Xenopus tropicalis: one gene and its partners. The protein of the gene in region 2 interacts with the protein of the main gene of each other region in a pairwise test. Links are inferred from orthologs where the notes say so. Each region holds a gene or a part of one and is shown on either strand. Other genes may lie near its edges.

The links.
Region 1: the proteins of fbf1 (region 2) and tubgcp4 interact in a two-hybrid assay, tested with the Homo sapiens proteins (2 studies listed by BioGRID and IntAct). The two-hybrid records come from large-scale screens. The link is inferred for Xenopus tropicalis from reciprocal best matches to the Homo sapiens genes FBF1 and TUBGCP4.
Region 3: the proteins of fbf1 (region 2) and cinp interact in binary tests that used the Homo sapiens proteins (3 or more experiments, as listed by UniProt). The two-hybrid records come from large-scale screens. The link is inferred for Xenopus tropicalis from reciprocal best matches to the Homo sapiens genes FBF1 and CINP.

What each region holds. Positions count from the first base shown.
Region 1 is NC_030679.2:107,048,498-107,058,873, reverse strand, and holds the end of tubgcp4 (gamma-tubulin complex component 4), read right to left. Parts: intron 10,363-10,376; coding exon 10,197-10,362; intron 9,862-10,196; coding exon 9,737-9,861; intron 8,070-9,736; coding exon 8,019-8,069; intron 7,622-8,018; coding exon 7,516-7,621; intron 6,699-7,515; coding exon 6,591-6,698; intron 6,338-6,590; coding exon 6,199-6,337; intron 5,745-6,198; coding exon 5,567-5,744; intron 4,901-5,566; coding exon 4,766-4,900; intron 4,648-4,765; coding exon 4,531-4,647; intron 3,699-4,530; coding exon 3,559-3,698; intron 2,551-3,558; coding exon 2,538-2,550; 3' UTR 1,904-2,537; downstream 1-1,903. UniProt on the Homo sapiens protein: Component of the gamma-tubulin ring complex (gTuRC) which mediates microtubule nucleation.
Region 2 is NC_030686.2:44,886,524-44,896,949, forward strand, and holds part of fbf1 (fas-binding factor 1), read right to left. Parts: coding exon 10,335-10,426; intron 10,255-10,334; coding exon 10,116-10,254; intron 9,017-10,115; coding exon 8,883-9,016; intron 8,752-8,882; coding exon 8,652-8,751; intron 8,394-8,651; coding exon 7,992-8,393; intron 7,391-7,991; coding exon 7,301-7,390; intron 6,934-7,300; coding exon 6,875-6,933; intron 6,684-6,874; coding exon 6,640-6,683; intron 6,077-6,639; coding exon 5,966-6,076; intron 5,845-5,965; coding exon 5,744-5,844; intron 5,533-5,743; coding exon 5,326-5,532; intron 5,242-5,325; coding exon 5,134-5,241; intron 4,956-5,133; coding exon 4,816-4,955; intron 4,701-4,815; coding exon 4,582-4,700; intron 4,488-4,581; coding exon 4,365-4,487; intron 3,018-4,364; coding exon 2,832-3,017; intron 1,946-2,831; coding exon 1,769-1,945; intron 1,625-1,768; coding exon 1,487-1,624; intron 1,339-1,486; coding exon 1,203-1,338; intron 3-1,202; coding exon 1-2. UniProt on the Homo sapiens protein: Keratin-binding protein required for epithelial cell polarization. Involved in apical junction complex (AJC) assembly via its interaction with PARD3. Required for ciliogenesis.
Region 3 is NC_030684.2:97,540,724-97,551,669, forward strand, and holds the start of cinp (cyclin-dependent kinase 2-interacting protein), read right to left. Parts: upstream 6,187-10,946; 5' UTR 6,083-6,186; coding exon 6,061-6,082; intron 1-6,060. Other genes in the region: tecpr2 (tectonin beta-propeller repeat-containing protein 2), read left to right, coding at 10,490-10,705. UniProt on the Homo sapiens protein: Component of the DNA replication complex, which interacts with two kinases, CDK2 and CDC7, thereby providing a functional and physical link between CDK2 and CDC7 during firing of the origins of replication.

The DNA of each region.
Region 1 (10,376 bases), on a different chromosome or scaffold from region 2:
TGCCAGATTTGCAGCTCTTAGAAATGAGCCTGCTCAGTTTTCTCCCTCTTTCTCCTTCCCCTCCCATCTCGTCTCTCGCTCCCCCTCCAAACTGTGCTGTGTCATTCGAGCTACCAGCAACCCAGCTGCAGCACAGAAGCTACTGAGACCAAGCTAAAATGGCAGCTGCTATCTTAAACAAACAGAAGAAGCTTCTATGGCTGTTAACTCAGGTATGGTAAAGCTTTCTGCATAATAAATATAGCGTCCTAGCTTGCACTATTGTAACTAATCTGTTGGCAATAAATTGCTAAAATGCCTTTCCTTCTCCTTTGATGATTTTATATGGATGTGGAAAGAAGTTTGTTTCACAGGTACTGAGGGATCACTTTCCAACCCCCTGAAAAGCTGAATGAGACAGCGCCACTTACTGGGGGCTTTTCAGCCATAACTCTTATGTGCCATAGCCAACCCATCTTGCACTTGAATGTTCATGAAGGGTTTTCACTCAATTATATTGCCAGTTACTGGTCTTCAAAGGCTTCTAAACTATAGTCATTTCTGTCAATGCAGGTAACAAATAAAATTGGCTGTACATCCCCTTTATCCAGCTCTATTCCCATTGGTCTGCAGATGGTATGTCAGGATAATCCAGTTTGCTTCTTGGTAGATGTTTAAAGGGACAGATCATCCATAAATTTAAGTTTTAGTAAAACATATATTGGGAAAATCTGGGTATGTGGGTTTACCCCTCACTACCAGGTTGGGGTTAACCCACATACTTCAAGGGGGGAGAGTTATCAACTAAAAAAAACTTGGTTCAAAAACTTGAATGTCTGGTATTTATTAAGTGCAAAAAACTTGAATGTAAATATTTGCCATTCAAGACTAAAAGCTTGCAAGTTTCTATAGAAGTTAATGGGAGTTCCTAGGCAAAGTCAAGCCATATTTTCAAACTCAAATTTGTAAACTCAAATAGTGAGCATTTGATATGTGAGTTTATTTAATTTAGAAAAATAAACTGGAATTCACAAAATCAAAAATGAATAAATAAGCTTACAAATGTTATGCTTTGTCACCCTCTATAAGGGAATGCGCTTATTTGTCAGTCTCTACTGATTGGGCAAGTGGGCAGTGTCGCCCTGTCATTCCAGGACTACTTTTTTTACGCTACATGAACATACAGGAAAGACCAGTTCATTTTTAGCTGCAATATATTCCTGTGTGGGCAGGCTGCTACTTTATACAGTGGATTATATTTGTGAATACAACTGCACCTAAGACATTTGCCCTACTGATCATGAATTCCGAGTGATCCTTTTACAATGAACAGTATTTGGCATTTTCTATATGAACCCTAAATGATTGTGGCATGATTTTCCTTATTCCTTTAAAGTTTCTGTGCGTTAGTCTATTCTCCCTCACCCATGCTCACTTCCTTTGTTTCTGTATGGGCTGTCCCATCTGGCTGCAGCATGAAGGAATGGGGTGTCCTGGGAATCAGCTGTCTTGTGCACAATCCTTTGCCTGTCCATGTAAGGGGAACAGAGGAGAAAACTTATCTGACCCTTCCCCCATCTCCATTTGTGCATGCGCAGAACTCTGATCTGCCTGTTACATGCAATGGCATTTGGACAGAAAATGCATACTTGTGTGATTCTGGTCAAAATCTACTCCATGTGCGCAATGACTGGGGGATTACAGTCCTGTGTGTACACAAATGGTGATTGGGGGCCCCAAATTTGAGTTCTGCCAGCAGAGAAAAGCCCATGTGTTTCACTACTTTATTTCTGCTAAGCCTGGTTGTGAGCGCTACTCAGGCGAGTGCCAGGAGTTGCAACCACACAGAAAGCCATCACCAGTAACCCTCTTGTGCACAGATATGACAGCTGAATCCCAGAATAAAATAGAGGAGGAGCAACAGTTAGGGAAGAAGAGGCTTTTATTGCATACAAGGAAATGATAAGAATTTATTCCCAATTATTTTTTTTACAGTTTTTTCATTTGTTTAAAAAAAAAAAAAAAAAAAAAATACTGCCCCTTTCATGGGCATTAAAGGAGAAGTTAAACTATAAGGGGTGAACAAAATCCCAGATTTGGTTTGTGATCTTGAACTCCAAATTCCCATTTTTGAGTAAAAAAATGTTCACTTATTTTTATACTATTAAAACACGTCAATGTATCTATACATGGGTTCAACTCATATACTCTTGGAATGGTGATACAGAATATTTGCAATTCCTGTGGTTACAAGGTCTGCAGGTTGGACATCCACTGACACACATTCTAGTTTAAAGAAGGAAAAAAACTCCCAAAACATTAAGTGCAATATAATGGGGAAGGGCCAATGAATAAGCTGTGAATGTTCTTTTCAGGCCATTTCCACCCACTTGTGTTGTGCATGTTTATATCATCCCTCACCACTGTAAATATGAGAGAATTTGCTCCACCTGTGTTGTACTGAAATAAAGCAAATACTGCGAAATCTTGGTGTCTGTCTTCACTGGATCAGAGTGCTGGGATTAAAGATCACTGTTGCTGGCCTTGTAATGTTATCTTCATAAGCCAAAACTGTAGGGGGAAAATACATTCCTCTTCTGAGATGGGGTAATATGCTGAGTAGTTATACAAAAACCACCAACAACCATTTACATCTGTAAAAGCTTAAACAGGCAATCCCTTTAGATTGTATGTATGTAATACAAAAATCAATTTAAAGGGATTGCCTATTGTTTTAGACCTTCACAGAAGCAAACTGTTTTTCATTAATGACTGATTCCTGCATACAACATGCACCCACCCACATTAGTCTAATAAGAAAGGCAATGCACCTGCAAAGCTTAAATACAAAAGAAAAGCATGATTCCTGCCCAGACAGTACCTGCATTTTCTTAATCTAACACAAGGTGGCAGCAATAGATCATTAGGAATCTGCCCCCAGTGTGCAATACTGAACAGTACTGTACTGTATAGAATTCTGAGTAACTTTCCAATAAATTCATTAAAAAATGTCAGATTTTAAAGTAAATGTAATTGCTATTGATAGCAGAATTGTCTTCCCTACCCTATGCTACTAAAGCAGCAAGCTGATTAACTGACCTGTATAGAAGCTCAGCTAGAGGACAGCTGACTGCTTCCGCTGGTTCAAGAGTCAGAGCCAGCAGTGCAGAGGGGGGCTGAAAATACTGCTTATAGCAATTAAAAATAACTTTGAGCTAATTGTTCAGAACATAACATGAAGGTACAGTAATGGACATCCTTGCCACTATATTTAATTCCATCAGGATCCCATACACCTTGGCATATCCCTCTATAAATATATGGTCCAAATGAAAGATGTGTTAATGAGAGGTGCATGCCCATACCTAAAGGTGTGTGTCTGCATAAGAAATGAGCACATATACAGTCATACTCATCACAGCAAATGATATTTGCCAAAAGATCTGATTAGCCAAAGGACATTTCTTGTATGTTTCTAACTTATCAAGGAACATTGTCTCAACAACTTAAAATTATATGGGACAAAGCTCCTTTGCATTGGGTCAATGTCTTGCAATTATCTACATGCAAAATTCGTACCTTCCAAGTGTGCCTCCTGCTTGGGTATAATATTTATTGTAGTCTAATCTGAGCAGGAGCTGGGCCAGGTCTGGGTTGATCTGATGATTCCTCACACTGGAGAGAATTCTGAATAGAAGTGATGACTGACAACTAAATCCCTGTAAACAGATACAAAGAAGAAATAAATCCAAACCAGGGCTCCTTTATCCTTATAGAAACAAGGTGAATGCACAATTATGGAATTTATTATCCACAAAACTCTTAAATACCTTCCAGTTTGTGCCTGTATGTTACCCAACCACTTAGATTGTAAGCTCTATGGGGTAGGGACCTCCTTCCTACTGTGTCTCATACCACATGGCACTTATATATATATATATATATATATATATATATATATATATATATATACACGTATATGTATTTATTGTATTTATTTATTATAACACTTGTCCTCCCTGTGTGTAATTTTGTATTCTGTAAGACTGTACAGCGCTGCGTACCCTTGTGGCGCTTTATAAATAAAGTTATACATACATACATACATTCAGTGCCATTTCCTAGAGTATCCTATTCAAACAAACAATCCTTTTTTAATTTCTAAACAAAGATAAAATCAAAGGAAACTGTAGTTGTACTGATAACACAGCTACATCAATGTATGTTGGTGGCATCTTTAGTAGCCATTGGCTACTGCCCCGCTCTATGCTTGCCTCGGCCTACCCTTGTGACAGCACCTGGAGCCACTGCCTCAGCCTGGGGGCAGGTTTAGGTTTATGGAGCGAGTTTTATCTCCACAATGGATACTTGCGAATTTTGGGCCAAAATCCGCTCCTTGTGCTTGCGCTTGGGCCTGCACAGGGTGAGAATTAGCCTGGTGTGGCAGTAGCCATTATGATCCAAAATACAGAAATATCCCTTATCTGGAAAACCACAGGTCCCAAGCATTCTGGATAATAGATGCCATACCTGTATAAAGGCCATACCTACCTTCACAAGAATATCTAGCTGCCCAGCTCCGCGTTCATCCAGGGGGCCCAGGTTTTGGCTGACTAATGAACAAAAACTGTGACACAAATCTAAGATTTCATTTAAACAGTGGAAAACCTGGGGGGAAGGAAGGGCAAGAGATTTATATCGGCAATAAATGACAGCTTTCTGATTTAGTAAATGTGCTCACTGTAGCCCTGCAGTAAGTACCTTCCTGCATCATTTGTACACTTACTGGTTTGAGCAAAATGAAAGACTGTGCCAACAGATTACTTAGGAAGTGGTCATGCGCCAGGCGAATGCTCTCAAAATCCCGCGTTGAGTTAATTTGTTGCAAGAGTTGAGAGAACTGAGACTCCAAAACATCCACCTAAGAAATGAACATACAAACATGGCAATGCCATATGCATTTATCAGTGATGCACACTTCTGGGCAAGGGGCGAAGAGACAATGTACAAACAACTGATTCTGACTTTTGAAACAATGTAGCAGAAGTCAGATGAATAACACACCTGGTGCAGAGCTGAAATCTGCATTGTTTCACCAGAACCAGAGAACAAGCTGTTGTTTTCAACTGATCTTACATTTACAAATACCTTCTAAACCCCTGAACATTAATGTGTGTCAGACACTTGCTTAGAACTACATTTCCTTTCATTATGCAAAAAACATTTTGACAGATTCTGAAAACTCGGAGCAAAAAGCCTCAGAAAATGTCACTGGTGTCACTGGTGCTGAGGCTTTATCCAACAATGAAAGCAGCTGTCTCATCATTCTTATCACTTAAAGCAACAATCACATAGTGCAGATCCATAGATTTCCTAGGTCACAGTTTTGACTGAAGGAGTGTATGGCAAGAGAATACAGATGGGACCTAGCTGCCATGTTCCCAGGCTACTGCCTCAGCAAGTACAGCAGCCTCCGAAGTAGAAAAGTATAGAAATAACATTGCATATAAATATATATGCAGTACATTAGCTGAAAATGAAAAAGCTCATAGCACAAGCATATGTGAGCAATGTGGCGCATCCTCACCTGCAGGTAATACTGGAGATTATCAACCAGAAACGCCATGTGGTTACGTAACCGCCACTTGATAGCATCGGTTTTATTAGACTCCAAATGTTTTCTCTGCATCTGAAGAGCCCAGCAGTGCTGAAGTTCTGACTGCACACGGCGCACACTCAGCAAATACTTGAAGACCACATTGTACCTAACAGAGGGTACAGGTATGGGGATTGGTTATCTGGAAACCCGTTATCCAGAAAGTTCCGAATTACGGAAAGGCCATTTCCCATAGACTCCATTATAAGCAAATATTTCTTTAAAATGTTTTCTTTTTCTCTGTAATAATAAAACTGTACCTTGTATTTAATCCCCACTAAGATATAATTAATCCTTATTGGAGGCAAAACACTCCTATTGGGTTTATTTAATGTTTGAATAGTTTTTCAGTAGACTTAAGGTATGGAGATCCAAATTACGGAAAGACCCCTTATCCAAAAAACCCGAGCCCGAACCTTATCCGGACCTGAGCATTGCGGATAACAGGTCCCATACCTGTATAATGTTTACACTCAGCAGTTTCAATAAACACACGATATCTAATACATAAGTTATATAAATATGCACCAGTGCAAATGACAATTAGATGCAGCTCTACTCACTTCTCCAGCACTGCCGGTGTAAAGAGAATATGCAAGGGCCATTGCACTTTATAGGAGAGTCCAAGTGCAGCCCATCCAGATATTGGAGGTTCTCTGGGAGATGTGTCACGAGATGGACCTTCCCGGGGCTGGGACATATCTAGAGGGAAGAGAAATGATCTTAGCACAAACCTCGGGTAAAACTGTTCTCTGTAAGCAGCAGCAGCAGCAGCAGCAGCAACTTCAGTCACCATGGCTTACAGGGCCTTAATGTTTCTATGGCTTGGCACACTGTTTTCAGGCCATGGTACATTTCGAAGTATGTTAACAGATTATTTTGTCAAATCCCAACTGATTTTCAATGATTTATGAAAACTATATCAGGTAAATGCAGAGTTCAGAGACAGCCCTACCTTTATGTTCTTTTCCATGGTAATCGATTGTCAGATTTAGCAGCGGCAGGAGATTGTCATCATCAAGTAAAACTTTATGTGCAGATAACTGGAAGGCTACATTTATATCTGTTGGAAAGAAAGGGCAAGTAATGCGTTCAAGGCAAGATCAATACGTGCTGCTAATAATCCACGTATAGGCAGTGCTTGGAACTTGGGCTTTTCCATATAAGAGATCTCTGCATAATTGTCATCACCATACCTTAAGTCTGCTAAAAATTATTCTATAATAATAAAAATATGGATTCATGCACCATAGTTACCCTCAGGTACAAGGTACTGTACTGTGAAAAAAAGAGGAGATCGTTTATAAAAATTAGAATTATTTGCTTAAAATGTACTCTGTGGGATATGGCCTATTCATAATTTGGAGCTTTCTGGATAACGGGTTTGTGGATAAGGCATCCCATACTTGTATTACATCATCTGGTACAATCAAACTCTTTAATAAGAATGTATCCCATAAATTACAGATTTGTCATTGCTTTTTTTGTAAGAATCTTTTTTTGTTGCTAAGCAGATTAGCTGTGTGTCCCAATGTGCACTGTCATTGGTCTAATCAGGAAGCATGGCTAATCTTCCCAGTGTCAGATAAAAATGGTGGTTGTGTGGGTAAGGGATCCACTGAAACATTTTTAAAAAGGCAATATGAAGTTTTTGCAACAGGAGCTCAGGCGCACCTAGCCTAAAACTTGGCTGCGGAACAGTATGTGTACCAATGCAGGTGTGCTTAAAATAATATAAATAAAAGCTTTTAATTATGGTTAAGCCAATGTATTGAGTACAAGTGACTATATACCAGGCAGTAAATAGCTCTTGCTAAATAACAAGCTCCCAGCATCTCTGGCTATGGTTGAAGACACTAATATACTGTGGAAGCACTCACCATGTTCAGTTACTGCAGTAGGTGGAGTTTTCAGCATATTTTGGGCAATATCTATGAAGGCCTGAAACAATTCTCCTCTCCCCAGTAAATAGAAATCTTTAATAATCTGAAAAGAGAAATTTCAGTGTTAGTGAAAGGCTAATAAGATAAATTTGCAAACTGTTCTTGCCAACAGTAAACTTAGCACATTATATTTGGCACTGAAAAAGCGTATATATGAGACTGAATGGCTAAAACATGTGCTACCTGATGGCCAGGGATTATAAACAAAACATAAGTATTAGGGATTTGAATATCAGAAGAATAAGATGGGGATTGGGCGCATTGGGTGCAAGCTGCAGCTGGGAGCCCAGGAGCTATCATTTGCCTTCAAACAGTAATAAGTACAAGGCTCCAGTGGCTCTGAAACTGACCAAGCCCACAGCTGCATATATAGCATTATATGAGAGGGCAATGGAAGGCGAGTAGAGCAGGGAAAGGTCAATGTTATTGTCAGTCCTTACCTTGAGCTGACCCAGTAGGTCCGATTCCTCCACCATAAGCTTCCACAAGTGCTAGAAGTATAGGCAAAATAATTGCGCTTTATTAGTATTTCTCAAAAAAAGCTTCAACAAAGATTATCAATATAAAAGTAAAAGAAAAAAGGATGTATTGTGGCTCCTTAAGCCATTCCAGTACCACAGTGTGATGTTTTTGTAAGGTATGCAATTGCAGGCTAAGGCCATATAGTTCTGGTATATCTGTCTCTGCATTAACATCAAAGCCAGTAAAAACCTCTGTTCTTGTGCAGGAAGGAGTGGTTTTCTCCAGAAACTGTGGTTAAAAATAGATCTTCATTTTTGTAATTTTTTAGTAGGGTTTAATGACAGCATTTAACATCTGCCTGTGCTACTATTTTATGCATTTAAAACTGTACTGACCATCTCTGCAGTACCTTGTACACTGAACACAGCAATACATATTCTTTATTTTTGTATAAAATATTATTAGTGGTATATCCTGCTAAATCTGTAAGCAGTCCTTCTGACAGGGAATACCTCCTTCCCCCAACAAGAACTAAGAATTATTATATTATATGTATCACCACTGACTTCACGTCTTAGCCACAGCAGAAGATACATGTGGAAAAATCCACTTGTGGGTATGAGCTCTTATTGGTTTGGCAATGACTGCCTCCTAACAGACACTGAGAGTCTGAGAAGGACCTTCAGGATGTCTGTAGATTGAGCTCTGAGCTGAAAGGAGTAGTGAGGAGATGTGTTTCCATCTATCCCTAGACTATATAAATAATCACAGATGGGGGCGCTGTAACTCTACCTTAGAAGTTTGGTACTTCTATTGAGGAGACACACGACTCACTGAAGCTCATGAGCAAAAAGCAGATATAACTTGTTTAAAATACATCATATAGCTGTTTGGAGGCAAAATCATGGAGTCTCTGGCAAATGATCAATGGTCACTATTTTATAAACCACACACAATTTGTCTGTTAAATATACCATAATCTGCTTTCTAGGTCACACACATGAAATTTCTTAGTTTAGCTTGTCACTAAAGTTATCCTGTATTTCCTCTCCAATGCCTGACTCAGCACCGCCCCGCCATTCACTTTAAGCTTGCATGTCACACTAATAGTAATATTCTTCATTAATACAGTGCCAGCATATTATATAACACTCTCCCATTATCCCAGTGGCCCTTGGAATATAAGATCCAGGTACAAACGCACTAGGTCTCATTTCTTCAGGAACTAACTGCCTAGCAGCTCCCATTTAAAGTACATTTTAGTGTTTTACCTTAAGATAACCGGAAGGTAACTCCCTATTTATAAGTCAGGACATTAAATGTTTAAATAATTGTGAATATTTACTATGATAAATCACCAGTCTCTTAAATCTATTGTAGTTTAGGTCCTCTCTGTGTGGGGAAACTTCCTTATACAAAGCAAAAAAAAAAAAAAGGCTGCAAAGGGGTCCAGTGATACAGTACTCATACAAACCCTCATTCACAAGGCAGGGGGCAGAGAATAACTAACTATGAAGGATGCTTGGGCTGCAAATGAGGGAGACAAGTGTTTCATCAGTTTAACAGAGTTACTGTACATCAAGCCAGAGGATGGCCTGAATTCCAGGCAATGGCAATGATCTATCTCTACAGGGTAATTCTGCTACTGAACACATTTACTGTGCTGATGTTACCCTAACATTTGGCAGAGGCTCACCTCGGCTACCGTGCTTCTGATTCGGTCAAGAACAGATTCAAAATCCACCAAACTGAAGAGAGGCTGCTGCTTCAGCCGATGGAGCTCTGCTGCAAATGTGTCTTCCTGGTTTTTTAAGATGGAACCTGTTGAGAACAGCTTTGGATGAATAGAGAAATGAGCAAGCGACCTGGAAATATTTAGTCTTGCATAAATGTTATATCTGTACACTACCAGCACTAGCATGTACATTTGCCCTGTAATGACTTACGTAACACATAACTGGCTCCTTTACAACTTTCATCCAAGGACTAGTTACATATATATATGTGCGATGTGCTATATAGGTTCTATGCTGCAAACTAGAAAGGGACATCTTGCTTGCCAAACTGGGAGATTTTATTTCCTAGGCCTATAGAAAAGACAGCTGAACACAATTTAAGGAAATAAAAACAGCCAGGCTCCGTATTGTCTCTCTTACCTGTCCTAGACATATTTGCATTTTGATTCTCAAACATCTGAACAGATTCACCCACAAACAGTATCTTCTCTGCAACCCTCACTGGAATATAGGATGGCAGCATTTCCGCCCTCAGTGAAAACTGTTTGAGGGATGGGGCCAACATGTTCTCTTCCTCTATGAGACGCTGCCAAAAGCAAA
Region 2 (10,426 bases):
AGCTGGAAGGAAATAATGATTAATAAAGCACAGGTACAGCACAATACAGATATACAGGAAATACTATTCCCCCTTTAGTAAGGTATAAGGATATTATAAAGGAGTTCCATATCAAGGCTGCAGGCTGAGTTATATAGGGAACTCTGAGTATCACTCATGTATTATAAGGGATAATGTACCCCCTACTGTAAATGATAAGGATATTAGCAGTCACTGAGGGGTTCTGTGCCCATATAAAGGCACAAGGCTGCAGGCTGAGTTATACAGGGAACTCTGAGTATCACTCATGTATTATAAGGGATAATGTACCCCCTACTGTAAATGATAAGGATATTAGCAGTCACTGAGGGGTTCTGTGCCCCCCATATAAAGGCACAAGGCTGCAGGCTGAGTTATACAGGGAACTCTGAGTATCACTCGTGTATTATAAGGGATAATGTACCCCCTACTGTAAATGATAAGGATATTAGCAGTCACTGAGGGGTTCTGTGCCCATATAAAGGCACAAGGCTGCAGGCTGAGTTATACAGGGAACTCTGAGTATCACTCATGTATTATAAGGGAAAATGTACCCCCTACTGTAAATGATAAGGATATTAGCAGTCACTGAGGGGTTCTGTGCCCATATAAAGGCACAAGGCTGCAGGCTGAGTTATACAGGGAACTCTGAGTATCACTCATGTATTATAAGGGATAATGTACCCCCTACTGTAAATGATAAGGATATTAGCAGTCACTGAGGGGGTTCTGTGCCCCCCATATAAAGGCACAGGCTGCTGGCTGAGTTATACAGGGAACTCTGAGTATCACTCATGTATTATAAGGGATAATGTACCCCCTACTGTAAATGATAAGGATATTAGCAGTCACTGAGGGGCTCTGTGCCCATATAAAGGCACAAGGCTGCAGGCTGAGTTATACAGGGAACTCTGAGTATCACTCATGTATTATAAGGGATAATGTACCCCCTACTGTAAATGATAAGGATATTAGCAGTCACTGAGGGGTTCTGTGCCCATATAAAGGCACAAGGCTGAGTTATACAGGGAGTATCACTCAGTAGTAGTAACTAGCACTGCACTCAGCAGGTTATGTTAAAGATAAGTGATTGTTTGTGTTTATATTATATATATATACAATAATTATACAGACTTCGCTGGCACAGAAGCCACCAATTACTATGGCCACAGAAAATACTGTACCTTTTGCAGTGAACTTCCCATTCTGTGCCATCAGGGGGGGCTCTGGGGGTCTGGCAGGGAATAGAACACTGGCAGTGGGAAGCTCTTGCTGAAGTTGGTTTAACTGGCGTCTCTGCTGTGCCAGACTCAGACGTTCCTGTGGAACAGAGTAGTTCTGGTTAAAAATGCATTTACTTTGCGGAAGTTACGCCCCTGACAACTTATTAAAAACCCAGACGTTCTTGGGGTCGCTGTATGTTCCCCTCCCTTGTAACTGAACCTGATTTGCCACAGAGGCTCCTCACCTGATGTATATGTTCCTCCTGTTGTCGCAGAATTTCCAGTTTCTGCTGAATTGCCCTTAAACGGCCCTGGTGCTCGGATTCTATCTTGCATGCCTCTTCTAGAGCTTTCTCTCCCTCCTCATAACGTTGTGATGCCAACTGGGAAAATAAAGTCTTGTTCTTTAAACTGCTATGCACCAATCTACCACAAGATGTCAGTGTTACCCTTGCATTAGCATTTGGTTAGTGAAAACCGGGTAATGGAAGGACTAGAATGGAAACATGTGAGTGGGAATATATTACCTTGCTCATGCTCTCTATTTCCTCCGCACGCTGTCGCACCCGCAGAGCAGATGCATTAACCCTTTCCTTTTCCAGGCGGAGGTCTTGTCTTTCCTTTTCCATGGCCTCTCTGGCCAAAAACAGCTGCTCCTCTTTGTTGAGCAGCTCACTAGCCTTGATCTTTAACTCTGCCTGCTCCTGGGGGAAGCATAGCAGTAGAGAGGTTTATATGAAAGGAAACATGGGGGGAGGGCAAAAGAGCAGAGAGAGAAGCTTGGGTGTGGAGAGCAAGAGTTCAGAGCAAAGGGGCAGTTGTAGATATTAGAATACTTTTCAGGCACTGGTAAGAATAGAGGTCATATCACTCTAAACAGGTCTTGGCGGAACTAACATGGAGTCTGTCCCGTTACAGCAAGGCCCCCCAACCTTTCTTACTCGTGAGCCACAGTCAAATGTAAAAAGACTTGGGGAACAACACAAGCACCATAAAAGTTCATGGAGGAGCCAAATAAGGGCTGTGATTGGCTATTAGGCAGCCTCTATGCACCCTATCAGCTTACAGGCGCTCTAAGGTTCCCATACACCTTCATATCCACTCGCTTGGAGATGTCGCCAAGCGAGCGGATCTTCTCCTGATATCCCCACCTATGGGTGGGCGATATCGGGAGAATCCAGGCTAATTTGATCGAATTATAATGACGGGTATAGGAAAAGTTAGTCCAGGGACCACATCAATGAGCCGATGCGGTCCCCGATCCGACTAGATTTTTTAACCTGCCCGATCGAGATCTGCCCGATTTCAGGCCAGATATCGGTCGGGCAGGCCCGATGGTAGTGCCTAGACACAGGCCGATTAGCTGCCGAATATGTCTATGGGACCCATATCGGCAGCTACTATCAGCCGCGTGTATGGGGACCTTTATTTGGTAATAAATCTTATTTTTATTCAACCAAAACTTGCCCCCAAGTCAGAAATTCAAAAATTAGTCCCTGGTTTGGGGGCACTGAGAGCAACATCCAAGGGGTTGGGGAGCAACATGTTGCCCCAGAGCCACTGATTGGGGATCACTGAGATCACATGTACCTTGGCCAGATTTATGATGGCGCCCTCCCTCTGAGTTTCTGCCACAATGACCCTGTTTGCTTCTTTCTCTGCTCGCTCCTTGCTCAGTTTTTGCTGGGTATGAAAATCGGACCATTCTGCCGCCAGCTTTCGACGCTCTTCTGTGCACCGAGACATGACAGACTGCTGTTCCTCCAGGAGAGCGCTCTGCAAGTGAAGGAAAAACTTGTCGATAGTAAATTCCAACTTGGACTCCTATAAAGATATATTACGGTAGCCTGGCAACAGACAATGTAGTTATGCCTCCAACTGCCGTGCGTGTGTCTCACTGGCAGGGATATATAAACAGACTGTGGCTATACCATACATCTCCTAAATCATTTATAATAATCCCGCAAACACCCTATCTTGCTGGCATTTATAGGGTACATGGAGTTTACGGTGTACAGTTAATGGAAAGGCTATATTATATATATGCCAAGTGATGGCTGATTAGTTTATACAGTCGGCTGGACTTTGTCAGCAAATGAGTCCAATACTGGTTGATAAAAAGCATTTTATCAGGGGGATTTAACCTGAGTAGCAACTTACTAGTCCTGGCTGGATGAAGTCCAGCAGCTTCGGGGGGGCTCAAGGTTAAGAAACAGGGCACTAGTCAAAGGCCATAAGGCACAGCCTGCAGGGAGCCGCGAGCCCTGTTACACAAGTATTGTATTAAAGGAGAAGGAAAGGTACAATCACTGGGGGGTACAAAAATGTTAGGCTTTTGATTTTACCTTTCCTTTTCCTTTAAAGGAGAAGGAAAGGCTAATAAAGAGTTAATCTCAAGCTGCAGGCATACCTTCAGTTGTCTCAATAGTGCCCTTAAGTCTCCCCATATTTCTCCCGTTCAGATGATCTGAAGCCAAACAGGAAGAAAAAGCGCTGAGCTGTGTAAAGAAAGTTCCCATAATGCCTCACTCCTGCACCAACAGCAGGACCGGTGTACATGCTCAGTTAGTAAGACTATGAAGAAGCTTCCTGCTGATTGGCTCAGATCCACATTCCTAAGGGGGGGAGTGAGTTCTTAGCATTTTTGAGGGAAGGGGGAGCAGGAGAGGGGAGGGAGCAGAAAGCTGCGTGTCTCTGGCAGAGGAATTACAGACACAATAAATCTTTTGACAGAGGACTCAGTGCAGCGTTTCAGTGAGTGCTTATGGCTGTATTTACATAGACCTTTCTGATAAAGCTTACTGAGTTTTTACCTTTCTTTCTCCTTTAAAGAGAATGTTGACATGTAAACTGCATCTTATTTTCACCCTCACACTCAAAACTTGTCTTAAACAGGTCCTGAATGAAATCAATCCATGTAGTCTGCTGGGAATATGAAGCCCACGTGTGGCTTTCAACCTAAGCCAATCAAATAACTCTGTATATATGCATGTCTTCCCATGTAAGCCATAGTATTCTCAACAGACCGCTCTGACGGGATAACAAAGAGCAGTGGAAGAACAAAGTTCTCGGCAGGACGTTCTTCATCGTTCAAACCTTCAGGCTGGTCAGGAGTCCACTAACCTTTGCCCTTTCCAGCTCCTCTCTTTCTATTGCCATTTGCTGTGTCACGACCCTCCTCTGCTCCTCCAGTGAGCGCTGCAATGACTCCACCTTGGCTTGTTCTGAGGTGACCCGCCATCGTTCCTGTTGCAAGAAGGGCCAATAATACTCGTTAGTTTCTCCTTCAGTGGAACTTCCAGCTTAAACTCAAAGGTGGGGTTCATTGGTTCGTTCTCACCTGTTCTAGGAGACGGCTTTGCTCAATTAACCGTGTCTCCATGTTGGTTATCACCATACGGAGACTGTTTCGTTCTTGCTCCATGTCTTTCTGCTGGCGGCTCAGTTGCTCCTGCAGTGCTGGATGAAGATGGCATTCATAAGGTGCTATATAAATGTACCAATGCCCTACCATGTGTTCCCTTGGGAAGCACCATATCAGCACATACAGCTGTTCAGCATAGTGTGCCCGTACCTCTGAGCTGCCCTTCTCTCTGGCGTGCTCCTGTCTCCAGCTCATGGGAAGTTGTCTGCTGAGTGCTCTCTACTCTGTGGGACAGGTCACTCAGCTTGTGGGAGAACGACTCCATTTGTTCAATAACGGTGTTCAGGGATCTGAAGAGGCGCAGAGTCGTAGGAAGCGTCGGTGAAAAGCAGAAAGTTATTAGTTCCCAGGAAAAGAAACAAGCAGGAAAGCAGTCAAAAGCACTAAGAAGACTACCACCTCCTGCCAACTCTGTTATGGGTATGGCACTACTAACAGTTTGTTATAGCAGGTGAGTTATAGTTATACCTTGTGTGGGAGGAAGCACTCGTCACTGCATCGATCTCTTGGTCCTTTAGCCGCTTGAGTCTCTGCAGCTGCTCCTCATGGTCTCTGCACATCTCCTGGACAAACACCCTGCAAAAGGGAGAGATAACCATGTATACGACTGCCCGGAAGAGACAGGGAGCGCACTGGGAGGCAGCTCAACTCCAACCTCACCTCTGCAGTTCCCGAATTCTCTCCAGTTCCAGCTCCTTCTCCTGCTGGAATTCAGTCAGTTTCTTCTGATACTGCGCCAGCAGTTCGGCTTTCTCGGTTTCCGTGCTCTGGCACCGAGATAGGTACTGGGCGGACAACTCCTGGTTCTCAAGGCGCAGTCGCTCCTCTCTTTGACGGGCAGAGTCTTCCACTAGTTTCAGGCGGCTCCTGAGTAGGAAGCAATTAAATGCGTGACATAAAATATAACCTACTTCTGCGTAGGGAAGAACTAGGCACTGGGTGCCAATGTGTATATACATGGGATATTGGGATTTATTTATCCCTACATACACACTGTAGCTTTATAAGTATCTATTTCTATATTTATGGAATCTGGGTAACGGGCAACTGGGTTTGTAAGTTAAATGGGTTGCGGTACCGATGTGCATTCTCTATCAGCTCCATATCCTCCTGATGTCTTTCTCGCAGGGTCTCCAGCAGCAGGTTCTGTTGGTCCCTCTCTAGCTGGAGCTTCCTGACCTGAAGGAGATATGGTTAGCTTGGTTTACCACTGGAATATTATGCAGTGAGTTCTAGGGACAATCCCATGTATGGAGGTATAAAGAAATCGACTCATCTCTGTAGTCTCCTACTCTAGTACCTGTGCCTCTAGATCCATCACTCGATTCTGTGCCTGCAGGGGATCCCCGTGAAGATCTCTATCCCCATCTCGTGCTTTTCTCTCTAATGGCCGCGAGACCACCGTCTGCTGCTGAGAAAGCAATGGGAGTGTAAACAGCAGCTAAAATTAAGTACAATAGGGCTGTGGGGAATAACAAAAACATAGATATAACATAGAGACAGTACTGATGTGGCAGGATAAATGTTGTTTTTTTAAAACTGATACTGATACACTGCATTGCTTATTTTGCCTCGCACAAACCAGTTTCATTCTATTTATGATTAAGAAGCTATCATGCAATACGTCCCTTTGCAAGTGAAGTAATATTTCTATCCCATCGAGGCAGTTCTTATACCAAAGCAGTACTATTATTACATTCCCAAACTGTAAATAACTCACTGTGTGCAAGTTGTCTAACTGGGCTCTACTACCTCAGCTAAACAGTTAAATGGTTCAGTCCCAAACCAAGAAATACAGGAGCAGGAGAATAATGTGTATCAGTGCAGATAGCAGGGATGCCTGAGTAGGACAGGTACGTTCTGTAGTTTACACTCCTTTATGGAGGAGGAAGGATACAGCCTTCCCTATACAATTCCCAGCTGAGCGTACAATGACGTGAGCAGGACTGGAGAGTTTCATTTATGATAACTAACCAAAGTTCTGGCTGTGCCGTGCTCTTGAGACGGGCCGGTAACTGCTGTAATAAAGAGAAACCAATATGATGTCAGAAATGAATAAATAATACAATAAAATAGGGATTTGCAACGTCAGACAAACCCACTGATGCAGAACAGCAACTCTCAGCAGCTATGGTGATGGCCAAAGATTTGTCTGTTCTGCTATAAAATTTTGATCCTGGACAAAATGAGTTGTTTGGGAAATAATCACCTGTCTGAATGGTTTCTTCTTGTTTGGGAGCCACAAACGTAGAGACTTTTTTGGGAGACCTGTAAGGACATAAACCAGGACCTGTCAGAGCATGTCAGCATATTCAGTAAAAATGTTTTCCAATCCCCACAAGTTTAACCTTTTTTAGTAAAGAGTCATGACACAACGTGATCCATGTTTGGTTGTGTATTACTGCACTGTTACAGTGAGTGACAGCTAGTGGCTAAAGGGCGTCTCAGCCTATTGCTGTAAAGTGACATGCTCGTCATGCAGGCCTGACGAAGGTTCCAGTGGGGAACCGAAACGTAGGATCAATAAACCTCACTATTTGAATACTATTATTTTGTTATTTTTGATGCATAAAATCCTGTGAGTGCCGTCACTCTGCTATCTACTATATATATATATATATATATATATACTTACCCAGATACCTCAGCAACTACCATACCAGTCTCTCTTGTGCCTTTATTAACAGCGGACTCCTGTGAGCTGGTTTGTGAGAAGACTGCAGGGCTGGAAAGAAGAGGTGCAATGAATATGTGATACATACACATGGAAAATATTACATTCACATGGAAGAATGGCCCTAGAGGTGGCCATTGATGGGCCAACCAGGAATATATCAGACCAGTCCACCTACAGACAGATACTGTATTAGGGTGTATGGCTGCCTTTGTACTGTTCCATTAGTACAAGCAGACCACCTGAAAGATCAGAAGAGCAAGAAATGAAGAGGAACGGTAGAATTACAGCCCTTCTCTTTTTCCTGTCTGGCTGATAGACTTTTTATCAGGACCGATCATCTTTGATCCAAAAGGATTGTTGGATAATCAGTCTAAATGCCTCCGGGACTGGTCATACATGCCCAGAAGGTTGAAATTTGCCAAAGTGCCTGGCCAGATCTGGGCATGTATGGCTAATTTTATAGACCATAAATACTTGCTTCCATTTATATCACATTATCATATAATTTATCGGCCCAAGCCTTTCTGCTCCTTCTCCATAACCCCTTGTTGTCCCACACGTATCTGCCTATAAACAGCTGTCTCTCTCTCTAGCAGCAGAATGTTTCCTATACATGCAATAATCGTCCATAAGCCACCACTGCTCTTACCTGCTCCCTGTAACATCTTCCTGTCTGGCTTGGCTTTTGCTTTTTTCCTCCATTTCCTGTTTTTGTGCCTTTTTTTGTGAAAGGGCAGAGGTCAGCCACCCATCATCCTCCTGTGCTACCGAGGCTGCTTCCTGGAGCCCACTTCTCGTTTGGTTAATAGGCTTGTCCGCAATTTTATTTCCAGAGGTGGGACGTCCGGCTGAACTTGGTGTAACACCTGCAGACCGGGGTGGGTCCCTGACAGGTAATGAAGGTGTAAAATCAGGAACATCAATGTCATCGTCTTTCAAGCCCAGCCAGTCCGCCCCACCCCTCTCTCCTCTGGCTGGACTCCTAGTTGCTGGGGTGCTGGAGCGAGACCTTCCTTCCGATTTGAAATTGTCGCTGCCATCTGCAGAGAATCTGTTTGATTGAAAGGATGATATTAAAAAAAAGTGGTGCAGTCCACTTGGACACTCACATGCTGGAGACATTAAAGGGGTAGAACACCCCCTTATTTAGTAGCAGTGAATGAATAGACCTTGTGCTGAACCTAATTTTTGCCTTTTTTTTTTAATTAGGAAATATAATTAGGAATTACAAGCCCTCTTGATAAACAAACCCCTGTCCTTTCCAAGCCACAGCTGACTAGGAAAAGAAATAACTGAACTAGCGTGATACCTGACAGATGGCCTGCGAGACGGTCGCCCCTCAGGACTGTTGACAGTAGGTTGGTACGAACCAAAGTTAATATCCGCATCGTCTGGTGTGTTCTGGTTCTCTAGCGAAGGAAGGAGACCCGGTTATCAGTTTGCACTTTGACTCTAGTCATTACTTTCTGTGGCCCTTCTGAACTGTAACTTAGAACTAACTTTAAAAAAGTTTTAGGAAGTTTTGACACCCTACACTCACCTTGCTGTTTCTGGTATTTAGGATCAAGTTTAAATTCTTTTCGCTCCCCAGTGGGTGGTCTTTCCAGAAGTTTGGCTGCAGTCCCTCTACCAAGGAGCTCATCCAGCTTGGAACGCGCAGGAGGCGGGGCAGAGCTAGGGAAAAGCAAGATCACATAGAACAGGCAGCTTGAGTACATGGCAGTTATTCACCTAAAAATTGAATAGCCTTTTACATAATAAGCAGGATTTATTCTATTAATATTGCCCTAAAGGGAAGGAAGACAATTTAGTGTGTTACTTCCCTTCTTATAGCAGCCTATACACAGGCCGAGCCCATAAGCTATCAATCTGATCATCCTGTAGGCCAAATTGACAGAAAAGCCGCAACTTACTCATTTGAAGGTGCACCATACATTGGAAGATATGGGGCATCAATTGATAAACCGACCCAATTGCTAAACCAACTAATATCTATAATACATATAACTGCACAGGAATGGCAGACACATACATGTACCGTAAAATGCACCAAGCTTTATATATATATATATATATATATATATATATATATAGACAACAACAAGAGATCCTCTGCACTCACCCTTTATCAATATATATAGGACATTAAGACATTTGGTGCATTTCAGCTACTAAGAAATGCCCTCCCCTTTAAACAAAACAGGGATTGTTTGTCCATACATTGCAATATACTTCAAGCTGGCCAACTACGTCAAAGTCATCCCTTCTGGCCAGTCCTACACTGACCTATGCGATTCACCAAGAATTCTACTGCTTCAATATATGTTTAGCCAAGGGACTAAGTTTTACCTGCAACTTACTTGGTTTCAAGGTTAAAACCCCCATATGGTTGCCCTTTTATTGGCCCATTGGGATCACCTGACTGTAGCTGGGAAGGGTGGGAGCTACAACAAGGAGCTGGCCACTGCTCCTGTATAAACTATAGCAAAAAAGGGGAAAGTTGTGCTCAACCACTAAATTTTAAACCATTAGGCGGGGGTGCAATGAGGTTGTGACCACAAAATACATATAGACAACAACAAGAGATCCTCTGCACTCACCCATTATCAATATATATAGGACATTAAGACATATATATATATAATCAGTATATGTATGACCAGCTTTGCACACTCTTTTCCCTTGGCACAAAGCTGACATTGTATTTGCCAGTAGAAGGCAACAGTTTCTGACGACGGCCAGCTGAGGGAAGAAACTTGGCACACACTCTCACCTTTCCTTTACTCGGGTTCTTTCAGGGCTGTTATCAAATCCAAGAGCATCCATAAGATCATCGGTCTCCTCCCCAAAGTTAAACTCGTCCTTTTTAAGGGTGGTCAGAGAGGGTTTTGCCGGGCTAATTGGAAGATTATCTACAGAGAGAACAAATGTATCAACTGAGGCCCAGAGGCCACAACCATTACAAGAAATACGCAATTGTAGAGCCTCTCACCCGCGCTCTTCGTGGGGGCTGATTCCGGAGCAGATTTGGGTTTTTCAGTAGCTGTAGATCCCCGAGGTTTGATCTTTTTGTCAACAAGATCA
Region 3 (10,946 bases), on a different chromosome or scaffold from region 2:
AGGTGACAGTAGTGCCAGATGGAAACACTCAATGCACCCTAATGAAAATCTGTGTGCGCAATGATGTGGGTGACATCAATATGCCCAAACAGACATTGTACAGTACCAACCAAGCTGTGAACGTGGTGGCCATCTTAAATATCAGATTTAGTATCACAGTCCAGTTTTCAAAAGATGCATTCCGATAAGTAATGTGATTTATTTAACTCCTAAAAGAGAAATAAATACAGGTATGGGACCCGGGGTAAGAGATCTTTCTGTAATTTGGATCTCCATACTTTAAATTTACTAGAAAGTAATTTAAAGATTAAATAAACCCAATAGGATTGTTTTGCCTCCAATAAGGATTATTTATATATTAGTTGGGATCAAGAACAAGGTACTGTTTTATTATTAGTGAAAAAGGAAATCAGTTTAAAAATTAGAATTATTTGCTTATAATGGAGTCTATGGGAGATGGCCTTTCTGGATAACGGGTTTCCGGATAACGGATCCTATACCTGTATATTTTTTAATTTGTGTTAAATTTTTACATAGGAAAAATTCTTTTTAAGGAACTGCACAGCATATGTGCCTAACTAATTACATAAAAAAGAAAACATTTCATATATATCATGTTTCTAAAAATAAGAGATCACCTCACTTCGATTTCAAAAGGTACGACAGAGGATAAACTGGAGAGCCCCAATGTGGATAGGTATTTCTACAACACCTCTAGTTACATATTTTATAAAAACCATGATATTCAGTCTGTATATCCATCTGCTAAAAAAGTATTCTTTCTCTGTTACCATCCCTCAACTGAGATGAGTTGTGATTTTTTTCTTTAAACTGTCTAGCCACTGAGCTGTTTTTATCCAATGTAATGTCTTGTATTTTGCTGTCCTTTCCTTGGCACACTGCATAGTTTTGCCAACATAGCCAAGGCCACATGGGAATTTGAGACAGTACACAACAAAGAGTAGTAGGCCGAGATTTGGATGGCCTTGCCTGTACTTGGATGCATCACACCATGTGCTTTAATCATGCCATTACTTTGAGCACAGTTTCTACATGGGAATGTACCATTAATTGATTTAAAAAGGTTTGTGTTAATCCATGTTCAAATGTTTCCGCATGCACCCGACAGACATACAAGGTCTTTATGTACCTCGAGTAAAGTACAAATGACAGGTGATTAACGAGTACCCTGTGACACCTGTAATATACACTGCTCAAAAAAAATAAAGGGAACACAACACATCCTAGATCTGAATGAATGAAATATTCTTATTAAATACTTTGTTTTTTACATAGTTGAATGTGCTGACAACAAAATCACAAATTATCAATGGAAATCATCAATGGATTTGGAGTTACACTCAAAATTAAAGTGGAAAAAAACACTACAGGCTGATCCAACTTTGATGTAATGTCCTTAAAACAAGTCAAAATGAGGCTCAGTAGTGTGTGTGGCCTCCACGTGCCTGAATGACCTTCCTACAATGCCTGGGCATGCTTCTTAGGTGGCGGATGGTCTCCTGAGGGATCTCCTCCCAGACCTGGACTAAAGCATCCACCAACTCCTGGACAGTCTGTGGTGCAACGTGGTGTTGGTGGATGGAGCGAGACATGATGTCCCAGATGTGCTCAATTGGATTCAGGTCTGGGGAAGGGCTGGGCCAGTCCATAGCATCAATCCCTTCGTCTTGCAGGAACTGCTGCCACACTCCAGCCATATGAGGTCTAGCATTGTCTTGCATTAGAAGGAACCCAGGGCCAACCGCACCAGCATATGGTCTCACAAGGGGTCTGAGGATCTCATCTCAGTACCTAATGGCAGTCAGGCTACCTCTGGCGAGCACATGGAGGGCTGTGGGGCCCCCAAAGAAATGCCACCCCACACCATTACTGACCCACTGCCAAACCGGTCATGCTGGAGGATGTTGCAGGCAGCAGAACGTTCTCCACAGCATCTCCAGACTGTCACGTCTGTCACATGTGCTCAGTGTGAACCTGCTTTCATCTGTGAAGAGCACAAGGGCGCCAGTGGCGAATTTGCCAATCTTGGTGTTCTCTGGCAAATGTCAAACGTCCTGCATGGTGTTGGGCTGTAAGCACAACCCCACCTGTGGACGTCGGGCCCTCATTCCACCCTCATGGAGTCTGCTTCTGACCGTTTGAGCAGACACATGCACATTTGTGGCCCGCTGGAGGTCATTTTGCAGGGCTCTGGCAGTGCTCCTCCTGTTCCTCCTTGCACAAAGGTGGAGGTAGCAGTCCTGCTGCTGGGTTGTTGCCCTCCTACAGCCTCCTCCACGTCTACTGATGTACTGGCCTGTCTCCTGGTAGCGCCTCCATGCTCTGGACACTACGCTGACTGACACAGCAAACCTTGCCATAGCTCACATTGATGTGCCATCCTGGATGAGCTGCACTACCTGAGCCATTTGTGTGGGTTGTAGACTCCGTCTCATCCTACCACTAGAGTAAAAGCACCACCAGCATTCAAAAGTTACCAAAACATCAGCCAGAAAGCATAGGAACTGAGAAGTGATCTTTGGTCACCAACTGCAGAACCACTCCTTTATTGGGGATGTCTTACTAATTGCCTATAATTTCCACCTGTTGTCTATTCCATTTGCACAACAGCATGTGAAATTGATTGTCAATCAGTGTTGCTACCTAAGTGGACAGTTTGATTTCACAGAAGTGTGATTGACTTGGAGTTACACTGTGTTGTTTAAGTGTTCCCTTTATTTTTTTGAGCAGTGTATATATTTTACCAAAGGTACGGCAGGAGTTGATTCTATCCTACAACCTGTAGCAATTTTTTCTATCACTACTTTGAAGATCAACACTTCTATGTACAACGTGCCTTCACTGAATTTATACACTGGTGGTGGCGCTACATAGTCAATTGTCTTATGCTCTGTGTTGGCTCACAGGAACAGTTTTGTAGACTACCTGGATAGCTGCCATACATATACATACATATATATATATATATATATATATACATACATATACATAGATGCAGGTTGCTGGAAAGCTGCACACCATAAGAAAGAGATCATACCTGGGTGCCCGTACAGGAAGTGTAGATATACAGGGTTGGATTAACAGCACACCTGTGCTGTTAATCCAACCCTGTATATATATATATATATATTATATATTCAAATATACCTCCTCTACAGAGATGGAGTTTTTGGATGTAAAGAGACGGAAAATAGAAACCAGTATTCAAACTGACTTATACCAAAAAACACTGGAGACCAATAGTTCTCTCCAAGCCAGGAGTTTTCATCCAAAAGCTCAGGTACGTTCTATTCCATTCAGTCAAATGGCTAGGGTTAAATGGATAATTAGTAATCATGAAGTGTTACCAGAAACAATTAATGATATTAAACAAATATTTATTGACAGGGGCTACCCAAGAAATATACTATAGAAAGCAGAAAATAAATTATTGGATTTGGACAGAGGATCATTGCTTCAAAATCAAGATAGAAGTAAAAGATAATATAGCATGTGTCCAAACCTATTGTCAATATTATTATAAAATTAAGGATATTATTTGACACATTAGACACTTTAAAGAAAAAAAATCATAATTCATCTCAGTTGAGAGTTCAAATATTAGAACATGTTCCAAGACCTAAGTGGAATGATGACAGAGAAAGAATAATTCTGTAACACAAAGCCAGATGGACATACAGACTGAATAAGGTATCACCTAAAGGCCTCAATGAACAGACTGAATATCATTGCTTTTTGTAAAATATGTAACTATATTTATTTCACATTGGGGCTCTCCAGTTTGGCGAGTATTATCCTCTACCGTCCATACTGGATTATGATAATATCTCTATTGAATATTTTAATTTTATTGTTGGTTGGCACTGTACAATGTCTATTTGGGCATCATTGCACACAAAGATTTTAATTAGGTTGCATTAAGGGTTTCTATCTGGCACTGGTGTTGACTGTCCTCTCACAAGATTGCATGTTGTTGGACAACTCTGATGTGAATTTGAATGAATTACAAACGTGTCTCATCAAGTAAATGTATTTACTGTATATTGTAATTGAGACCCTAAGCTCAAGTAACTGATAGCAGTAAAGTGCATGTGATATATATAATCAAAACAGGAAGAACTGGAAGCATTCTAGAAGGCAAAAACTTTCACTGTGTTAAGGTGGTACAGAAATCCAAAGCAAAAGGCACACCATATCTAACCTAAAGAATCCCTTTGCTGTTTTAGAACTAATTGTGAATGTGACTGAATAATTTCAGAATATTCTCACAGGTAATAGGTTTCTAATATCGTTTTACTGCCTTATCCTAACAGCCTGAAAAATTCAGGCAAACTAAATCCCTAATAAAGTTGAACTATGGGCACAACCACAGTCTGTCTCAAAATTTGAATGAATAGGTTTGAGCAAATTCAGATTTTTGTATTGCGTCTCTTGTTTGAATTGCGGCAAATCAAAAATACATTATAATTTTTAATTTCATGCACTGATCAAGCTATCACTGGGACTGATACATTTGATATGGCCCTCTATGGCCCTGTCCAATTAGAACCACAAAAAAAGCAAATGGCACTCAGGGCTACAAACAAGGGAAAACCCTTAAAAAGTTTATTGCGGAGGTGCACCTCCGCAATAAACTTTTTAAGGGTTTTCCCTTGTTTGTAGCCCTGAGTGCCATTTGCTTTTTTTGTGGTTGTACTGGTTTTGGAGGGTGCCGATCCCTCCAGCAGTGTGCACCGGGCATATAATTTTGGAGCGCTAGGGTGTGCGGATAAGGTCTCTGTAGTACAATCCTGTCCAATTAGACGCACATTTTAACTGCCCAGACCTGCATCTTTGTTTTGCTGTGTAGTGGATCAGGTTGTGGATAAAACTGGAAGTGACGTTAATACAAACCTGGGAAGCCTTCAGTGTGTAAATTTTCTGCATATCCACAAAGCAGCATTATGGTCCAGCAGATGGGTAATGACTGGCCCTGCTAAGTTTATTTATACACACTGGTAGTGAGGATTTCAGAATTCTTTAGAAAGCTATGAACTAAGTATTAAATCCTCAGACCCCACAATATAGATGTCTGTAAGTATTAATGATATAGGGCAGTGTTTTTCAACCTTTTTTGGGCAAAGGCACACTTGTTTCATGAAAAAAATCACGAGGCACACCACCATTAGAAAATGTTAAAAAATTTAACTCTGTGCCCAGCAGCAGTGCCCCCCTAGTACATTGGTGCCCAGCAGCAGTGCCCCCCTAGTACATTGGTGCCAAGAGCAGTGCCCCCCTAGTACATTGGTGCCCAGCAGCAGTGCCCCCCTAGTACATTGGTGCCAAGAGCAGTGCCCCCCTAGTACATTGGTGCCCAGCAGCAGTGCCCCCTAGTACATTGGTGCCAAGAGCAGTGCCCCCCTAGTACATTGGTGCCAAGAGCAGTGCCCCCCTAGTACATTGGTGCCCAGCAGCAGTGCCCCCCTAGTACATTGGTGCCAAGAGCAGTGCCCCCCTAGTACATTGGTGCCCAGCAGCAGTGCCCCCTAGTACATTGGTGCCAAGAGCAGTGCCCCCCTAGTACATTGGTGCCAAGAGCAGTGCCCCCCTAGTACATTGGTGCCCTGCCTACGGCACACCAGGCAACATCTCGAACAGTGGTTGAAAAACGCTGATATAGGGTAAACAAAAGTCAGGCCCTCCAGATATCCCCTCTTCCCTAGTGGACCAGTTCAGAAGACATCATTGGACACAGTAAGGCATAGGTAAGGGACAATGCCCTTAAAAATCATAGCAAATGGACAATGGCTTATTTATATTACATTCTAAATTCAAAATTCTACAAAAAGTCACCCACAGTAGCCCATTACTATTACAACCACTTATATTATACAAACGTGGGTGCTATTTGGCAGTCACCCTTCAGCTATACCTGCCCCGAAAGAAACCTTCCTTTTTTAAAACGTCTAGATTCGATGTTCCACTCACGCCCGTAATAGTCACTCTGCAACCTGAATTGGCAAAAGTCTGCAGTTTTACCAAACTTCCAAAGCAACTTACTTTCCATTGTATCAGCATACATTCAGTAGCACGGTAATCTGTTACATTCTATCTCACTCTACTATGCATGCCCTCTCTCCTTGCTCTCGGTTCCCATGTGCAACGCAGTGGAACGCAGTGGAACGCACACAACAATTTCCGCTTTCCGGACTAGAACGGAAGGACCGATTCATGCTAATGTGGGCGGTACCTAAGTGGTGTCTGTACAGTGTTGTGATTATAGAGAGTGGGGAGTATGTTTTAGCTGCGTCAGGTTCCTGGATGCGAAAGGGTTTTCAAAGCCGTGACTAACACTCGAGAAACAGGTGAGTGTGGATGAAGAAGCCCCCAAATACTTTAGAGGGGGCAGGAGAAGGCTTATATAAAACAGCATTGCTTAACGTTTATTATTCACTATATTGTACATATTTGGCATAGCTTCTCTTAGTGCTACTGAGCTGAGGCTTGCCAGCTGTTGCTCATCTGCTGTGCCATCAGCACTGTGCTTAATGTGTGTATCATCTACTGTTATTAAGCAAATATATGCACTCATAGCAAAAAGAATCTAGCAGCTTTCATCACACACTCCCTGCCTTTAGATCTAACCATAAAGTACATAACATGTGCCATCTGCTGCCCTCCTGCACTGTCATTAGCGCTGGATGGCCCTAGACTAGACATGTTTTGTATATATATTTATTTATGCACATGACACACACTGATCTTGATTAGCACGCTCCAATGTTACTGAACACTTTTATCTGCATTTAGTGTACATATTTTGTTTTGATGGTATATTTTGTCCTTTTTATCTTTAAGAAGCATCCTTACTTTTTCCAGAAAGCTGCGTAATGTACATCTGGGTGATTTCATTCATACTTCTCTTCTTGTAAGAGTATCTATCTATCTATCTATCTATCTATCTATCTATCTATCTATCATCTTTTGATACATCTCATCAAGAGAATTTTTAACATCTTTACAATCACAGCTGTCCCTAAGGATATTTGACAAATGTGGTTCCTTAATGTTCCATAAGGAAATTAGGTGCTAGCCTGTCTTTTATGCTTTAAAGACTTTATATACACAAATTATATTTTTAGTTATCAAGCTGTAAGGTAGCATGTTGTGGGCTTCTTTCAAGCAGTAGAAAAGGCAACACTGAACAGGGCCCTTTTTACCTCTTGTATTGGTTGATTTTGTTGAAAAATCTATTTGTTTAATATATACACCCATTCCTTGTGCAGTGCTTTAGAATATGTTGGCACTTTATAAACACATGATAATAATACATTACAATGCCTTTTAATTTGTTGTTAGGCAGCTATATCACTTAATTGCACAGAGTTTCAGTTACTGTAGGCTTGCCCTCTTTCAAGGGGCAAAACCCCACATATCTGGGGTTAGTACTAGCAGTCTACTTTTGGCAATGACGTATTAAAAGGTATTGGTTTATTGCTTAGGCTGTTCAGGAAGACGGTTCTCTTGAGCCAGTTGCTGACTTTCTAAAAGTAATAGTAGCTTCCAATAAGAAAACCTAGTGTTACAAAGTTCTACCAGAAGAAAGGCAGTCATTATATGACTTATGACTGTGATTAAACATTAGGTTTAGGCAGGGCTGTCCATCTGGTGGCCAGTGGGCTGCATCCGCCTTACAGGTGCACTATCTGTAGATCTTTCACAAAAAAATCCTCTGTTCTGGATATTCTTCCACGAACAACAAGCCTTGCTATATGACCCTCGGGCACTAGAGCGTTACTTTTGTCTTCAGATTTCTACTTAGGTTTTTGCTCTTATTTAAACACATAGTTAGACCTTAAAGCATTATGTATTAATTTAATTATTAAAAAAAGATTTAATTCTTCATGATAAATGTTTGTGTTTGCATGTTGCAATTGTGTAAAACATCTTAGTTAAGTAATAACCTCTTCTATATTGCTTACAGCGCTTCACCCCTATCGTCTGAAGAAGTGGCACCTGTTCCAAAATGAATAGGCTGGCTGTAGTAGCAGTCCTAGAGCTGCCTATTTTGTAACTAAGGTATGATTTATTTTCAAGCCAAAGGAATGTTTCTTTCCACTTGTTTCCTGCAGTTTATTTAGTGTGCATGTTGCACCAAAGGGTTATTTTGAGAATTTTCACCTGCATAGGGGTAATAACCTATACAATCATGCTGCCTCCCTCATGAAATGTTCCACCAGTGTTTAAATCATTATTATAGTATATTTTCTGTGCTGTCTTATCAGCTGGTTAGGGAATTTAAACTGTTCTATAAGGCAATACAAAAGCACAGCACTGCAGAATATATTGGTGCTTTATAAATAAAGAACAATTTCCTGTAATGATAAAAACATATAAAAGCTGCCAGCAGTAAAGTTGGCCATACAAGTTAAAATTTTAGTCTTCTTTTCGATGAACATTCGCATGTCGATCGTATGTTTTAATACAACGATTTAAAACTAACATTCAGCTTGAAATTTTGGGAGTCCTAAAAATAACAAATCAGAGGATGTTCTGACAATAATAATTGCCATACAACAGTTGTACGAAAGTGATGTGCAAATATTTGATTAAAATGGAGTCTATGGGAGACAGCCGTTCCGTAATTCGGAGCTTTCTGGATAATGGGTTTCCGGATAAGGTCCCATACCTGTACTTCTAGTTCCTAAAACAATGTTGCAGAAGCAACCTGGAAAGGAACTGAAAATCCCATTTTCTTGTAATATGCAAAAAAGTCTTTAGATTAAAATCTGATTTAGTGAACGCTTCTTTTGAATGACTCCTTTGTAGCTGGGACTGAGCTAGCACCCAGGACATTGTCCAACAAGTGCAGAAAAAGTGGTACTGGCAAGGGAATTGATTTCCTTTTATTGCTTTAGAGCAGGGATTGAGCTACCTCTTATTTGTAGGGGTTTAGTCCTCTAAATAGAGATTTGTATACGGTCCAGAAAAGTTGATGATGGTTATAGACTGGTGGATTCACTTTTGTGCTGAACAAGTACACAACTGATCAGTTGCACTAAGTGTATTTCCTGATAATTGTGTCAGTGTATGTTATTCTTTCCACTTGCTCACAGCAGTCCTATACAGAACACATTCTGTGTTGGCAGCTGCTTCTCATTGTGATGAATGCCACGTAGCATGTCTCCGAGCTCTGAAATGCTGACTTTACCAATTCTTTTGATATCCCTCAGCGACAATACAGTGCACCGTAGCACAGCACACACATTTCTCACTCTCCAGAATGAAACAGGAGTGCTTGTAGGGAAATGCATTTTAATTTGGAGGGCAGCACACTGCTTAAGGGCTCGCCGGTGGGATAGCACACGCTGCGCAGGCGATTTGCCATCCCACCGGCGACTTACATTTTCGCCGGTGGGATGGTAGTTCGAGGAGATTAGTCGCCCGTGACAAGGGAGATTTGTCGCGGGTGACTAATCTCCCCGTGTGCCAGAGCCCTAAAAGTCCCTGTGCTATTATCTTTTTCTAACTAAAGACACATCTGTAGAGTCGCAGATCCTTTATTTGGAAGGGTTATACAGACCACATGCTAGCTGAACAAGATTTTGTGCTGTATGGTCACACATAAAACAGGATCATGTGCTTTTTGGTCACACGTGAATAACCAATAGTGAGATTGCTCTTTTCACATTTTTGACTTGCAGGATGTAGGTTGTAGGTTGTCCATTGATCTTTTTTGTACTTCAGGGGAAGCCATCAGCTGCCCAGATCTACTACTGTTTAAATGGTTTGGTAATTCTGTTCATGGCTATATCATTCAATTTAAGGTCAACTTTAGGCCCTTTGTAAGTAAGTGTTTTATTTGGTTTGCATTTTTTCGTCAGAGAATTGGATCTAAATATTAACAGAACAAACAAGGTCAATAAAATAGTTACAAAGACAACTTAAGGTGGCCATACTCAGGCACATTTCAGCAGCCGATTTGTGTCCTTCAGACCGATTTGTATGGGCACCCCTGATGGGCCTATCCGACCAGTATCTGGCCTAAAATTGAGCTCGTTGGTGTGGTCCTTGATCCGACCACCCATATACCTGCCATTTTAATTTGATCATTTGGCCCAATGGGCATATTGAGAGATGGTTCGCTTGTTTGGCGACTTCGTCCAACTTCGCACAGTATATATGGCCACCTTTACATTCAAGTTGGCTTAATGTAAAGATAAGACGAAGGATATTCCTGCCCCATAGAGCCTACAACCTTACAGATCTACTGAATGTTTGTGTCACATTCAGTGTGACACTTCTATTTACTGAAATAATGTTTCTGAAGTATTAGATACAGCTTAAGATGTTTTTGTTTTGTCTTCCTATGAATTAGCTGGGATCTGTAGTGGTTTAATCTTTTTTTTTTTTTATATCTTGCTCATATTTCAGTTCTACCTTGGCAGCAATGTGAGGGTTGGAGGTGGAAGTTACTTACCAGATAAAAATGGCTGCACAACGAGTTGGGACTTTCAAAGAGTTCTGCCCATTGTATTCCATTCTGAATGCTATTCCTGCAAAGGTGCAGAAAGGATTCCGTTCTATCCTGGTTTACCTAACTGCCCTTGATGCCAACAGTGATTTCATTGCCGTGGGCAGCAGCATTGGAATGCTGTATCTGTACTGCAGACACACAAGCCAGATGAAAAAATACAGCTTGGAGGTAATGTGTCGGTACTGCTTCATCGATATGCAGCACGTCAGATGAACACTTTTGCTTATCATTATGAAATAAGTCTTGTACTGAAAATGTATTCTACTAGTTTTTTTTATTTATATCTGCTTTATATTCCTTGTGTTGTTTTTACTGCCATTTTAATAAATTAATCTCTAGATATTTATTTTGTTGCCTTGTGTAGTTCATAAGTTCCTAGAAACAGCTGGTAGTACACTACTTTAGGGTA